Linked DNA regions of Elephas maximus indicus. The protein of the gene in region 1 interacts with the protein of each later gene in a pairwise test. Links are inferred from orthologs where the notes say so. Each region holds a gene or a part of one and is shown on either strand. Other genes may lie near its edges.

Region 1 (8,251 bases):
ACTCATAGCAACCCCATAAGACAGAGTAGAACTGCCCCATAGAGTTCCCAAGGAGGGCCTGGTAGATTTGAACTGCCAACCTTTTGGTTAGCAGCCTAGCTCTTAGCCACTACGCCATCAGGGTTTCTGTATAAATGGATAGGTATATGATAAAGCAAATATAGGAAATTGTTCATTGTAGGATCTAGGTGGGGATATGGCTGCTCACTGGATGATTCTTTTAACTTTTCTGTATTTTGAATTTTTCATGCTAAAATCTTAGGAAAAAATAAGTTGAGTCAAAGCAGGAATCAGGGCTGGAGGAGTTCCAGAAAGATGTCCCTTTGTGCCTCTTTCCTTGATTCCAACTCTGATGCGTTGTACACAGTACAGTTCAATGAATGTCTGTTGAATTGAGCAGTTGAACGTAATTCCAGGCTACTAGGGCACTTCCAGTGCTGGCAGGATTCTTCTAGATCAGGGGCCAGCAATTTTTTTTTCTGTGAAGGCCAGAGAGTAACTATTTTAGGCTTTGTGGGCCATTCAGTCTCTGTGGAAACTGCTCAACTCTGCCTTTGTAGCTCAAAAGCAATCAGAGACAATATGTAAACGAATGAGTATGGCTGTGTCCTAATAAAATTTTTATTTACAAAAACAGGAGGTTGGCATAGTTTGCCAACTCCATCGAGACCCCAAATCCTTATCTCCCACCACAAAATGGGAGTTGAGTTGATAAAATACCAACAGTATGGGTAAAGATTTTATAGGTGTCAGGAATGGTCATCATAACAAAACAAGAACAAACCTTTCCTCGTCCACCTCCACCTGCCAATCAACAATTTCCTTTCATAAAGAGCAATGCCATTCGTTCCACTACTGAACCTGAAGCTTGATGCCCAAGCATCCTTAGGAGAGACGGTAGGCTCTTTAGCTCTAGTAAGTGTGAACAATTCCCATCAGATCCCAGCCTCCAAGTGGATGATTTTAGAACTGGAAGGAATAAGTATGAGAGGTGACAGGGTGACCCACCAATGAAGAGACAGCCGTGGAGAGAGCTTAGGCTGCAGAGGAGTTGTTGGCACCCTGTGGGGCTTGTTCTCTAGGGATGGACAGACAAGAACAATAATCAATAAGGAAATTATGTATCAGGATATAAGGTGATAAGTCCTGTGGAAAAAAAGAACAAGTAGAGCAGAGGAAGGGAGACTGGGAGTTCTGGGTGGGGTGAGGTTATAGTGTTTGACAGGGTGGTCATGGCAGGGCTCATTAAGAAGATACCCTTTGAGCTGAGCCTGCAGATGAAGAAATGAACCAGGCAGATATCTGGAAGATTCAGCAATGGAAACCTCCAGTGCAAAGGTCTTGGGGCACAGTATGCTCAGGATATTGTAGGCATAGCCATGAAGCCGGTTTTGGGAGTGGTGAGTAGTAGAAAAATCATAAGCTGATGTTAAAGACAGTAAGAGGGTACCATCGGGGAGTTCAGAGGAGAGGAGTGACAAGATTTGACTTAACATTTAAAAGAATCACTTTGGCCACTTACTGGAGAATAGACTGCACGGGGCAAGAGTGGGTTCAGGGAGAGTGGCCAGGAGGCGGGGGTAATATTCCAGGTGAGGGATAAGGGCCACTTGGACCATCAAGGTAGTGGTAGAGGTGGTGAGGAGTGGCCAAACTTGGGATGTATTTTGATGGTAGAGCCAAGCATATTTTCTGAACAACTGGATGTTGGATGTGAGACCAGACCAGACCTGTTGCTGTCAAGTCAATCCCAACTCCTAGCAACCCTATAAGACAGAGTAGAACTGCCCAATAGAGTTTCCAAGGAGCAGCTGGTGGATTCGAACTGCTGACCTTTTGGCTAGCAGCCGTAGCTCTTAGTCACTACACCACCAGGGTTTCCTTGGATGTGAGGGAAAGGTAAAAAATCAAGGGCGATTCCACATTCTTTGACTTGAGCAACTGAAAGGATGAAGTTGCTATTAGCTGAGAAGGGGAAGACTAGAAAGAGCTAGTTTAAGGGGTTAATCAGGAGGTCAGCTTTGAATATGTTAAGTTCTACATGTGTAGTATATAATCCAAATAAATATGGACAAGTTGACCATCGGACACAAGTCTGGAATTCTGGAGAGAGGTCCTGGCTGAAATTTGGAATCAAAAGCAAAACATGGTGTTTTTTGCAGCATCCACTCTCACTTCTGCAAGGAGGGGACAGAGAACTGCAGTGGTAACTGAGGGCCCCGGAAGGTCCCCTCTTTTTTTTTCTCATTAGGGACAGATTAATTCAGGGCCTCACAAGTATGAAGCATGTACAAACTTTTTATAAACTCTATAGCCTACACAGAAACCCTGGTGGCGTAGTGCTAGGGCTGCTAACCAAAATTCGAATCCAGCAGCCACTGCTTGGAAACCCTACGGGGCAGTTCTACTCTGTCCTATAGGGTCACTGTGAGTCAGAATCAACTGAACGGCAGTGGGTTTGGGTTTTTCTACAGACTACACACACGCGTACGATTATGTCAAAAAAAAGTACCTTATCAAGCAAGGTCCAACATCCCCAGACTTTTTTAAAAGTGAGAGAAAAATACAGGTCAGTCACAAAGCTAGTCTCTCTCTCTCTTACACACACACACACACACACACACAAAATGGATCCTCCCAGTTTCTTTCTCATTCTGAAAATCTAAGCACTACTTCTCCCAAGTGAACAAACTGGTTCATGTCATGAAGTCACATTATCGCTTGCTGTGTCCCTACCGAAGCTTGTAGGCTGTTAACGGCTTGCATGAACAAGCTTCAGAGAAATTTCCTAAGGATCTCACTGGGTGGAGGTGACAAAGCTGACTCTACTTCGTGCAAATTAGATCACGTCATTGGAAAAGCAGGTTGCCACAACAAATTTAGGGTTTAACTAAAGACATGGAAAACATAGAGCCAGAGAAGGGTTCAGGAGATGTAGCGGAGGAAGTGAATGAATAGAAAAATAAATAAATCGGTGCCGGTTTTGACTGAGAGGAAACCACTCCTCCTAACTGCCCTTGAGTGTGTTAAGCCCTGAGAAGGGACTGGAATCCCAAGAGAGTGTGCCCAGGTATTTCCAGGGTTATGCCACCTCCTCCCTTTCCCCCCTAAATTTACTTTTTCTTCTAGAATTTTCTTTTGCCATGCAACCATATATGAGCAGAAGAGTAAATACAAATTGTCTTGTGGCAAAGCAAGTTAGCAGAGTATCAAATTAACTTACTGGGCCAGGTGGTTGGGCCACTGTTACTCTGCCTCAGCTCAATTTCTTTCTTTCTTTCTTTTTTTTTTTTGGTGAAAATATACAGAGCAGAAAAAAAACAGCAGAGCATGCATCAATTCAACAATTTCTATGTGTACCTTTCAGCCACGTTGGTTGCGTTCTTCAGGTTGTGCCACCTTTTTTGATACGCTTTTTCCAAGTTGCTTAATCGTCATCAACACCACCTCACTGCCCTCTAAGCTTCTCATCTAACCTTTCCCGTCCTCAATTTCTTGAATGGCGGCCTTCTTTCTTCCTAGTGGTTGGATGGCGAGCTATGTGGAATCCGTCAATGACTTTTATTTGCTACGAGGGTGCAATTTATGCTCTTCCAAATTCTTCTCTAGAACTCCTTGCCCTTCCCCACATTTCAGTTTTCGGGCGGAAAGATGAAAAATCTCTTCGAGTAGTCATTCACACACTCCATCTTTACTTATCTGTGTTCCCCCACTAGACAAGTCCCTAGAGGGAGCAGGCTCTCTTTGTTCTGTTGACTTTTATGTCTCTGGTCCCTAACAGAATGCCCAGGACATGGTAGATGCTCAATAAGAGCTGATTGGCTGGATGAATACATAGAAAGGATGCTAACCCTGTGCCCACTCAAAAGACAGGACCTCATTGAAAGTCAGAACTTCGCTCTCTTCTGTCAACCCAACACTTTACCACACCATCAGCCAACCAGTTGTCATTGAGTAGAGTCATGGTGACCTCATGTGCAGAGTAGAACTGCTGCATAGGGTTTTCAAGGCTGTGACCTTTCAGAAGCAGATTGCCAGGCCTTTCTTCTGAGGTGCCTTTGAATGGGTTTGAACGCCCGACCTTTCTGTTAGTAACCTAGTGCTTAACTGTTTGTGCCACCCAGGGACTCCTACCACACTCTGTTGTTAGGTGCCATCAAGTTGATTTTGACTCATAGTAAGTCCCTGGGTGGCACAAATATTTAAGTGTTTACTAACTGAAAGTTTGGCGGTTCAAATCCACTCAAGGCACCTCAGAAGAAAGGCCTGGAAATCTGCTTCTGAAGGTTACAGCCCTGAAACCCCTATGGAGTGCAGTTTATCTCTGCACAGTTCAGAAGGTCACCAAGAGTTCCAATCAACAATGACAGCAACTAGCTAACAACAACAAGCACACTATAGATATTTACAAAGAAGTTAAAGTATCCAACAATTTATAAATTAGCACAGTGTGTCAACACATGCTAAAAGGATGGTTCATTTTCTTGTCTCTCCCTAGCCGAGCCTAAAATCTGTCACTAGATTCAGTGTATGTGACCAGCCTGTGTGCACCAGAGAAAAAGATGGACTGAGTGAACCCAAAAGTTATGTTGTCAGAATGAAGTCAAGTGACAATCACCTTTCTTCGTTGCAATCTTGGAGCACCCAACATTGGCAAAACTAATTTCTTTTCCATTTCTAGATTTCTTAATCATTTCAGCTGGGGAATGTGCTCCTTTACGGTTTTGTTAATGGTTCTTCTCTCTCTCGTACGGTCTCAGGCCTCTCTTTGTCCAAGTGTTGAGCTGAAGTTTTTATTGCTTATTCTCTGTGCAGTTTGGCATTACCCAATGGTTTCCTGAAAGAAGTCAGCGTCAGAAGTGGGGCTGTGCAGAGATATTTTCTTGTCCTTTCCGGAAGAAACCTCTAGAAACAAAGGCAGGGTTATCACATGGACCCTAGGGCTGCCTGGGAAAAGCAGGAGGTGCAGATATCAAAGTTGGAACCTTTCTGAAATATGCTTTTGTCTCTGTTTTGACTGCGTTCAATCAGATCAACAAGTGTTGGCTAAGTGTTGAGCGTGGTTTCCTGTGGGATTGTGTAAGGCTCTGCAGGACAATAAACGTTTGGGGGGCACTGAGTAATGTAGCCATTTCTGACCCAGCAGCCGGGAACATGTGAGACAATTTGCTGCTGCTGGAAGGAGGACAACTGGGGCTGGGTTCCTGCAAAGAGAAGATTAACTTTGGCGCTGTGGACCTGGGCAACAGAAAAGGCCGAAATGGTGCGTATCAGCAGCCCGGGCTCCACAGGAAAATAGGTTTGGATCCAGCTGTTACGGGGTCTGGAGTTTTCAAATTTGGGGGAGCCCACTTACAAAACAATAATCCAAAATTATGAATACAAACTCGCTAGGGCTTTGAAAGGGATTGTGTAATTTGGGGCCCAGACGTTCAGACTGCTATCTTTTTGCTGTAAATCTACCCCTGGCTCAAAATTTCATTCAGGGAAAAGAGCAGGTTGTGTGTGTGCTTCCTCTTTTGAGTCCCCCATTATTCTTTAGGCATTGCTTTTCTCTGGCTTTTAATGATTTTTTTTTTCATACCAGCTTCAAAAAACACAAAGAAATGTTATCCATGCCTTCTTTCCTTTCTGTGTACTGTATGGTGTTATTTTAGCACCAGATATTTGATCTTAGGTCCCTGAACCCTTTGCTGTCGAGTTGAATCCCACTCATGGCAATCTCATGTGTTGCAGGGCAGAACTGCTCCATACGGTTTTCTTGGCTGTAATCTTTATGGACGTAGATCTCCAGGCCTTCCTTCGTTGGCACTGCTGGATGGGTTCAAACTTCCAACCTTTCTGTTACTAGCTGAGCACAAACCCCGCACACCACCCAGGTCCCTGAAGGCTCCTTAAATCAAGGGCCCAGGGGATATTTTAGATGGGGATGGAAAGAAGGGAGGGGGGTTAACCACAGCCCTGTACTCACACCTATATAATTTTAAAAGTTCTTGTGCACCGTGATTTGATTTTAAAAAGTAGTACAGTTATAATGTGGTCTCAGTCAGTGCTTCTCAAACTCCAGCGTGCACCTGGGATCTCAGTGAAATGCAGATGCTGTTCCCGTGGGTTCGGGTTGGGGCCTGAGATTCTGCATCTTAACAAGCTCCCAGGTGTTACTGATGCTGCCAGTCCATGGACCCCACTTTGATAACATCCAGGTATTTATTCATAAATCTGGTGGTACAAATACTCAGTCAGTGCGGGGCTGGCTTCAAACCAATTTTAAGGCAAGTGGTCCCCAGATGGAGAGACGGTGCGTCTCGACTTGAGGCTGCCTGGGGAGCTCTTGCTGCCCCCCATGACCCCCAGGAGCTGGGGGAAGGGAGATGACGACTGAAGTGTTATCACTGAGGATCATTTCATTGTCTCCTGTTTTTTAACTTTGCCTATGGAATGATGAGGGGAACGGGTATATGTTTCTAGAATATCTATTAGATGCTGTATCTTCATTTTCTCTTGACTCCTCATAAGCCCTTGAGCTGGTCACTGTTTCACTCTCTTTACAGACGGGGAAGCTGAGGTTAAGCCGTGTAAAGAAACCTGCCAAGTTGCATTAAGACAGAGCAGGGATTGGAACCCACCAAAGCTAGGTGCTTTTGTTCGCACCACTGCCTAAGCAGGGTTCTGTGTTCAACTCATTCAGCCTAATGGAAATTTATCACTTTTTGCTTCCTTCCTAAGAAAGGTGCCCAGAGAGTATGCCCTGGGCAGAGGGGAGTGGGCAGAAGGAAAAGAAGAAAGGGCTTAGAAAAGCTTCAAGAGGCTCTGAAGGTGAATTTCACGCCCAAAGCCAATTTCAGCTCCAACAGGAAGAGCGGTGGAATTTTTGCCTTCTCTGTGAAAAGATAGCCTTGCCAAAGTGTCTGGTTTTCATAACTTCATTTTAGTGCAATTAAGATTAAAAAAAAATTAAGATGGGCGTTCCAAAATGCTGGGAATTTGAGTGTCAATGTTCAAAGGATTTCTGTCCATATCAGGTCAAGATCAATGGTAAGTAACTTTTGCGTGACAAGCATAACCACGTAAAACAGGGACTCGTTGCATTCTGGGGATCCCAGGTTTGTCTTTGGCCAACATCTTAAGATATGTTTTTGAACCACTTTGCCTGGTTCTGAATGAAGCCTTTTGTTCCTGTGTAAACTTATCACCGTGTTCTGTGCAGTTATTTAGCAGGATGATAAGTAGGCCTGTTGTCCTCGTTACAAGAATAGTACAATGAACATCCATATACCCTTTACCTGTTATAGTTCTTGTGCACCATCGGGTCGATTCTGATATGTAGCCACCCCGGGTGACAGAGTAGAATTGCCCCCATGGAGTTTTCTAGGCTGTAATTTTTATGAGAGCAGCTTGCCAGGTCTTTCTCCCTCGGAGCCAACCATGAACCTCTACTCTTTCAGTTAGCAACCAAGCACTTAAACATTGTGCCGCCAGTGCTCCTTGCTCTGGGCAAATATTTGAAGGTCAAGTTTGCTGCAGGTCCTCCATTTTCTCTTCCAGAACCTCCGTCCCCAGTTAGAGAATCTTCCCTCTCCTTACTGCTCTCCCCCTCCGCTGCCCTCCCACCACAGGTGTTATGTTATTATCTTCCCCCCTAGCAAAATCTTTAACTAATGACGTGTAAAGTAAGAGAGGGCAACTAATCAAGACAAAAGGGAAAGGAATTGCTACCCTCATCTCTCAGTTTTAAAGGATAAAGCGTAAGGGCACCATCCTCGACACAGCTGGGAATACACAGATCAGTAGAGGGAATTGTCCAGTGGCCCCATTTAAATATACAGCCTTTCTTCCCTTCCTTTCCTGCCTCCTGCACCCCTTCTGCACTGCGGAGAATTCATCCCAAATTTTGAGTTTGTGTGTTCTTGCCTCTTTTCAAAATATGGGCTGGAGCTTTGCTATTTAATGCTAGCTTGGGGAATTCTGCTGATAGATTGTTTATAGGTCACATCTTTCTGATATTTCCAATGAAAAGTTCCTTCGACGAGCCCTGGTGGAGCAGTGAGTGGTTAAAGTGCTGAGCTGCTAACCAAAAGGTCAGCATTTCGAACCCACCAGCCATTCTGTGAGAGAAAGATGTGGCAGTCTGCTTCCTTAAGGATTACAGCCTTGGAAACCCTACGGGGCAGTTCTACTCTGTCCTATGGGGTCACTATGAGTCGGAATCGATTTGACAGCAATGGGTTTTTTGTTTGTTTGTTTGTTTGTT
Region 2 (7,156 bases), on another chromosome or scaffold:
GGCAGGCGCGCAACAAAGAGAGAAGTCTGCCCTGCCCAGGCTCCGCCTGATAGACTTGGGTAGCTTACAGAGGGGGGCTTGCACTTCTGTCCTGAGCCCCTCAAATGATTGTTGCAGCTTGCTCCTGGACCAGGGTTCCGACTGTTTTAGGCGTATTTGCGTCTCTCGGAATATGTAAACGTGAAGTTTGCCGGGTAACTTGGGCGAGAGGGGGCGCAGGGAAGGACTGTGTGGGTGACGACTTTTGTTTTCGAGTAAAGAGTGTTTACTCTGGAAAAAGAATTCTCGGGTCTGCAAATTCCGACTTGTGATTTCTGCAAATCCTGATTAGACTGGCCGCTCTTGGCAAGCTCGTCCTATTTTCCTCTTTCCTGAGAAAGCCTTATCGTAATAGCGTCTGCTCGCAAATGCTTTAAAAACAAAAACAGAAACTCGTGTGCTCCAGGTGACAACCGCGGTACGCTTAATAGTTGCTGACAGAATTTTATTTCTTAAGCTTAGGACGTGTCAGTAGTTTTACTCTGAAAAGAATGATCTGTTTTGTTTTTAGGGTATTTTATTCTTATCTTCGCACAATTATGTTTTTTCCCAGGAGAAACATAGATTTGGTTTAATGCTACAGATTTAGATCTTACTCTAGAAATGCCACATACTCTCTTCCTTTATTATTTTATTTTAAAGCAATATTGGCAAAATGACGTGTGATGAGGACCTTAGCAACAAGAGGAAAAAGTCTACAGGATTCAGGATTAAAGTGTATTTGAGAAGCTTTTGGAACAGGACGTGGAGGGCAAAAATTAAAATGAACTCACAAAATAGCTCAGACTACCTTTTGAAAGCTTGTACTAAAGCAGAACTTAATATATATCTGTTTTCTTTCTACATAAAAAAACAGTATCTCCTAGTATTTTCCTTCAAAAGTTAATATTTATGAATTATCTGTGTAGTTTAGTAGTTATATAACTTATAATTCCACACCCAAATGCCTTGTAATTATTGCACGTTATTTTACACTTGAAATAGACCAAAAAAGCACTTTAATTTCTACTTCTCAATTTCATTATCTTCAAACATTCAAAACTTTGTGACATCATTTGGTAGCAAATACTGTATATAACTGAAAAGTAAGATCAGTAAATCATTGATAATGTTGTAAATATTGTATGAGGGGAAAGATGATTTTAACACAGTGGGTTTTATACAGAACCCAGTGCCGTCGAGTCGATTCCGACTCATAGAAGCAAAAATCATGCCATTCTCTTGAATACATCATGGGGGAAAAATGAAACTGATAAACACATACCCTAAGTTTTCCAATGACATAACATCTACCAAAAGAAAAAAAAATTCAGTAAACATTAGCTTTTTCTTAAACCTGATACTGTAAAACATTTCAAATCTCAGGGACAATTGAAAGTTTTACTCCTGAGTTTGCTTAATAAGAGCTCAAGTTCATAAGGTACATAGTGTAGCATTTACTGCCTTCAAGGCTTGGTTCTGTCTTCACAGTGAAGAGACTACCGTGTTTGAACATCCCTTCATACAAATATTTATCTTTCCTCTATAGATATATCTTACTTTTTCATCTCTATTACTCAATCTGCCCTGTTTCCAGTTACCATAATTTGTAAATAAAAATTGAGATTACAACCTCATCTCATGAAAGGATATTTAGCGTCTATGATATGTTAAGTACATATAATCTTTTTAAGCTTAAGCAAATACTGCTGGCTTATCAGGCACTTTTCTAGTTAAAAGCTTATTATTTAAGGTTGTTATTTGATTTGTTTTTTTCTTTCATTTTGCTTCACCTATTTAGTTTGTGTCCCTGAAACAACAAAGCATGTTGAAAACTAACGAAGGTGGAGGCTGTATCTTTTCATAATAGTTATTTTCTATTTCCCTCCTTAGAATAGTGCTTTTACCTACAGAAAGCACTCAGCAAATGCTGTTAAATTAACACAGTCCTTTTATGGTTCCATTTTTCCGGTGGCCTTCCTCCTCTATCCCTTGTTTTTAACTTTTATTTTCTTTTTCTGGCTCTTTGGAGATAACCAGGAAACAAAACCAAAGACAAACCACCAACAACCAAAACAAAACACACACATACAACAGAACACACAAAAGCAAAGAGAAAACCTCGGTGGGGGTCTTTATTAGAGACACAGCTGGGTAATAACGGCATCCTTGTAAACTCTGTAAGGGCAGCAACGATTTAGGAGTCGTCTTTGAATTCTCACAAATCCCACGATATACATTTCTGGAATGGAATTTCAAAATGTGAAGTTTGGCAAAGTATAGCGTAATAGCTAAACCCTGCTCTCCAGCCCTGACGCCCATCACCTCTGGCTGAGACCCAGCCAGGAGAGCGCGGAGTACAGGACTTGGGGTGAGGGACCCGGGATCGAATCCTGGCTCAGCCCATCCCTGAACTAAACAGCTGTTCCTCGGGGCAGCCTTGAGCAAGGAAGGGCGGAAGCTGTCACCGGATTCTGGAACTATATGGGATTTTGTCCGCTCGTTTAGGGAGAAAAAAGAAAAAGTCCAGTTGACATAAAAGCCCCCAGCTGCCGCCCGCCCCCAGTGTGCCTCCTCAATACAGGAGTTACCATCAGCAGACGTGGTTAAAAATGGTCCAAGTCGCGTGTTTTGGGATTCTGTGGCTCCGAATCTGGACTCCACCAACCTCTCCACCGCCAGTAGGGCTCGCGTGGGGCCCTTTATATGTTCCCTCCGGGAGCAGAGGGGGTCGGTCCAACCGGGTGTGTCCGTCCGGAAACGCGGCCGCGTTAGGAGGGTTCCGGGCCTCCCGAGGCTGTCCGTTGGCCCGGCAACGCCACCTCCTCTTCCGGGGGGAGGCTGCGGGAGGAGCCCCAGCCCGAGCGCGACTGCAAGGGGTTGCTCAGCTCGGTCCGCAGCTCCTTCCCCCAGGATGGCGTTTAAGGCCTCGTCTGTGTCGTCCTCTGGGCCGCGGCCCCGCTTAGGTGAAGCTTCAGCGCCTCTCTGGGCAACCCCACCCTGGAGAGGAGCCGGGGCCACGCTTTTCAGAACTGCCACGGTGCTGGTGGTAATCCCATAACCAGTATTTGTAGGGTCTTATGATTTTACAAATAAATCAGTTTGATGAAGGAAATATTGTAAACCAGAAAGGGTTCTACAAATGCTCGTTAGGCACTTTGGCTTGGTTCACCTCGCTTGAACCTCTCAGCTGCCATATGTGAGGGAGGAATTACACCTTCCATCTGGACCCGGGATTAATCTGCCTAACGGGGCTGGGCCTGGGACTTGAACCAGCCCTGGTGGTGTACTGGTTAAGAGCTACGGCTGCCAACCCAAAGGTCAGCAGCTTATCTCCCAGGCGCTCCTTGGAAACCCTATGGGGCACTTCTGCTCTGTCCTATAGGGTCCCTATGAGTCGGAATCGACTCAACGGTAATGGGTGGTGTTTGTTTTTTTTTTTTTGTTATCTCCCTTAAGGACCAAAATAAATAAATAAAGAACCCTGATATTTGGAGTGTTGAGGGGGAAAGACCAGTAAGTGTTATCTATGAAAAAGCAAAACTTTATCCAAAAAAGGAAGAGAACCACTAATGAGCGCTCCTAAACTTGGCGTTGCCTTGGTGCCCGGGATTATCTCATTACAATGGTTGTAATCACCGTTTGTAGGATGAGGAGGGGTGGAGTCTGACAATCCAGCTCTCAGCTCTGGTGGTAAGCTTGCCCACTGCCTCCAAGATCCTATTCAGTGTCTTCTTTTTCCGGAGGAGAAGGAAAGCTTATTCTCAGGACACAGTCTCGTTGATTTGTATTTTTAAAAGCCAAGCCCAGAGCTGCCAGATTGCCCATGTAACCAGCGTCCCTTTTTCTTCAGCGCTGGAGTGGATGCTCCCTTCACCTGGCCTTTGGAGACTCGATTGCTTTTTAATGGCAGCAGCGGCTGCTGGGTGAGCAGCCCAAGACCGGACAGACTCATCCCGTCAGGACAGGATTGCTTCCTCTCTGCCTCACCTCCGCTGGATTGGCGGGGGTGCTTTTCCCTCCTTGTCCCTAGACTCTTGAAGGGAGAAGAAGATGCCACTGCCATTTGGATTGAAACTGAAACGCACCCGGCGCTACACCGTCTCCAGCAAGAGCTGCCTGGTTGCCCGGATCCAGCTGCTCAACAACGAGTTTGTGGAATTCACGCTGTCGGTGGAGAGCACTGGCCAGGAGAGCCTGGAGGCTGTGGCCCAAAGACTGGAGTTGCGGGAGGTAAGCAGCAAAGGAGGTCCAGTGTCTCTGGCCTGACTTTGTTCCTTACTTCTCACCACTTTCATGCATGCTGTCTGTGTGTTCTAGCCCACAGGATACTAAAACATGTCCCTGGTCATGATATGAGTTGAGCCTACAAGCCCCCTCCCCGTGAGGAAGGAATACCTACAGAGTGAGATGTCTTGCCTTGAGGGTGCCCCTGATGTGAAATAGCAGTGCCCGAGTTTTTGGAAAAAAGGCCAGATAACCTACTTCCAAAAAAACCACAGCCACTGAAAACCCTCTGGAGCCTAGTTCTACTGTGAAGCACATGGGGTTACCATGACTGAGAATCTGCTGGAAGACAACTGTTTTTTCTTTCTTTGAGCTTTTGAAAATGCAGATTTGTTCCCCCCCAAATGTAATCCATAATCAGATACGAATGCATGTTGGATTATCCAACTTTTTCTTTTCTAATACAATCCCAAATGGGTCATCCTGCTCTAGTACGGTTCACTGACTTACATTCACTCAGCAAATATTCATTGACTTTTTGCCACAGGCAGGGCCAAGATTCTAGAGACATACTGCCTGGATTTTGAATCTGGTTTCCTCACCAACTAGTTGCATGACTTTGGACAAATTATTTGACCTGTTTGAGCCCCAATTCCCTCGTCTGAGCCTTGGGGACAACGGTGATGTCACACCCTTAAACTGGTTGTGTCATTTAATGTGTCTGCATAGCCATAAGCTCTAGTAACTAGTCTATTCCCGTAGTCATAGGTTCGCCCTGGAAAACCTCAAAATTTTGTCAATAAGAGAGTTGTGGGGGCCTCGTGTATCGAGATAATGTCTTTTTTTTTTTTTTAAACTACTGTGTTTTTGGTGAAAGCTTACATGGCAAATTAGGTTCTCATTTAACAATTTCTATATTGTTCAGTGGTATTGGTTACTTCTTTCACAGTGTGTGAGCATTCTCATTATTTCCATTCTGGTTGTTCTGTTTATATTAATCTAGCTTTCCTGTCCCCCCTTACCTTCTCATCCTTAGTCTAGGGTAAATGTTTACTGTTTGGTTTCATTTAGATGACTGTTTATAGGACCACAGTATTCATGGCTGATTCCAGTTAAGGCCTTGAAGAAAAAGGCTATAATTAAACCTAGGATTCTCCTTGCCTTTAGCCCCCTAGTTCTAGGGTAGCAGTAAAATGGAGAAACTGGTTATTCTACTTGAACGCCCAAATTATATTCCTAACTGGAAATCCCGCTGATGTACTTCATAAAAAGTCAGAAGTAGATAAACTTTGTCCTTGGTGACTATCCTGTATCTTGATTATTCAACATTGAAGACCTATAAGTTCACCCTAGGCACACACTAGGAGTTCACCCTAGTGTTGCTAGCAACACGAAAACAGGCATGATGCATGCTATCGTAGAGCAAGTACAGGATGCTATGAGCTATGGGGGGGTCAGCAAAGAGAAAGATTCTCAGAACACGTGGTGTCTGAGCTGGGACCTGAAGAATTGGGCAGGGGAGTCTTCTGGGGGCTGGAAAAGACTGTTCCAACCAAAGGAACTGCACGAGTAGTGGCTCTGAGGCAAAAGCAACTGATCTGCCTGGAGGCTGAAGTGAGGAGTGGGAAAGCCGAGAGGTTGGGACTTAGAAGGTGGGGCTTTTGTTAAAGGATTTGGACTTTCCCTGAAGGAGAGATCAGTCCCTGGAGAAGGACATCATGCTTGGCAAAGTATAGGGTCAGCGGAAAAGAGGAAGACCCTCAACGAGGTGGATTGACACAGTGGCTGCAACAATGGGCTCAAGCATATCAACGATTTTAAGGATGGCGCAGGACCGGGAAGTGTTGCGTTCTGTTGTGCATAGGGTCGCTATGAGTCGGAACCGACTCGACGGCACCTAACAACAACAACAAGTGAGGACACCAGAAAAAGGTTTTTAAGTGATGGTGTGTTACTGTTTTGCAAAGAAACATCCCTCTGGAGAATGATTAGGAAGGGGTGGTTTTGGTGTAGGTGGTGACCACCTAGATTTGGATGGGGGTAGGAAGAAGTGGGTAAAGTCTGGAGAGATTCAGGACAGTCTCAGTTTCCCAGGACTGCTGTAGTGAAGTACTGCAAACTGAGTAGCCTAAAATGACAGAAATTTATTTTCCCACAGTTTTGGAGGACAGAAACCCAAAATCGAGGTGTTGGCAGGGCCATGCTCCCTCCAAACCTTGAGATAAAGATCCTTCCTTGCCTTTTCCCCCTACTCATAGCCCCAGGCATTTCTTGGCTTGTGGGGGCATGACTCGGATCTCTGCTTCCATCCTCACGTGGTCGTCTTCCATTGGTGTCTCCGTGTCTCCCTTTTCTTCTTATAAGGATACCAGTTATATTGGATTATGGCCCACCCTACTCCAGTATGGCTTCATGTTAACTAATTACATTTATCCACCACCACTGCCGTCAAGTCAGTTCTGACTCATAGGGTTTCCAAGGCTGTAAATCTCTACAGAAGCAGACTGCCACATCTTTCTCCCTTAGAGCCACCGGTCGTTTTCAAACTGCTAACCTTTCGATTAGCAGCCAACCACTTTAACCACTGTTCCAGTAGAGACCCTGTTTCTAAATAAGGTCACATTCACAGGCACGGGGGGCTAAGACTTCAACATATCCTTTTTGGGGACACAATTTAACCGATAACAAAAACTTAGCTAGTAAGCGTTGATGGAAAGAGCTAGCAAAGGGTCCAGGTAGATACTCAGGTTTCCAGGAGATGGTGGGGACTGTAACTGAGAGAGGAGACGTAAGAGGTGGAGCAGGTTTGAGGGGTGCAAGGAGAGGCGTGTGGGGAGTTCAGTTTTGGAATACTGAGTTTTGAGATGCTAATTGGTGACATTGAGCAGACAGATGGGTATGCTGGTCTGTA

What was found.
Region 2: the proteins of BMX (region 1) and PTPN21 interact in binary tests that used the Homo sapiens proteins (3 or more experiments, as listed by UniProt). The link is inferred for Elephas maximus indicus from reciprocal best matches to the Homo sapiens genes BMX and PTPN21.

Annotation. Positions count from the first base shown.
Region 1 is NC_064846.1:164,080,967-164,089,217, reverse strand, and holds the start of BMX (cytoplasmic tyrosine-protein kinase BMX), read left to right. Parts: upstream 1-5,000; 5' UTR 5,001-5,260; coding exon of another isoform or gene 5,261-5,263; exon of another isoform or gene 5,264-5,299; intron 5,300-8,251. UniProt on the Homo sapiens protein: Non-receptor tyrosine kinase that plays central but diverse modulatory roles in various signaling processes involved in the regulation of actin reorganization, cell migration, cell proliferation and survival, cell adhesion, and apoptosis.
Region 2 is NC_064828.1:102,173,879-102,181,034, reverse strand, and holds the start of PTPN21 (tyrosine-protein phosphatase non-receptor type 21), read left to right. Parts: upstream 1-3,976; 5' UTR 3,977-4,071; coding exon 4,072-4,251; intron 4,252-7,156.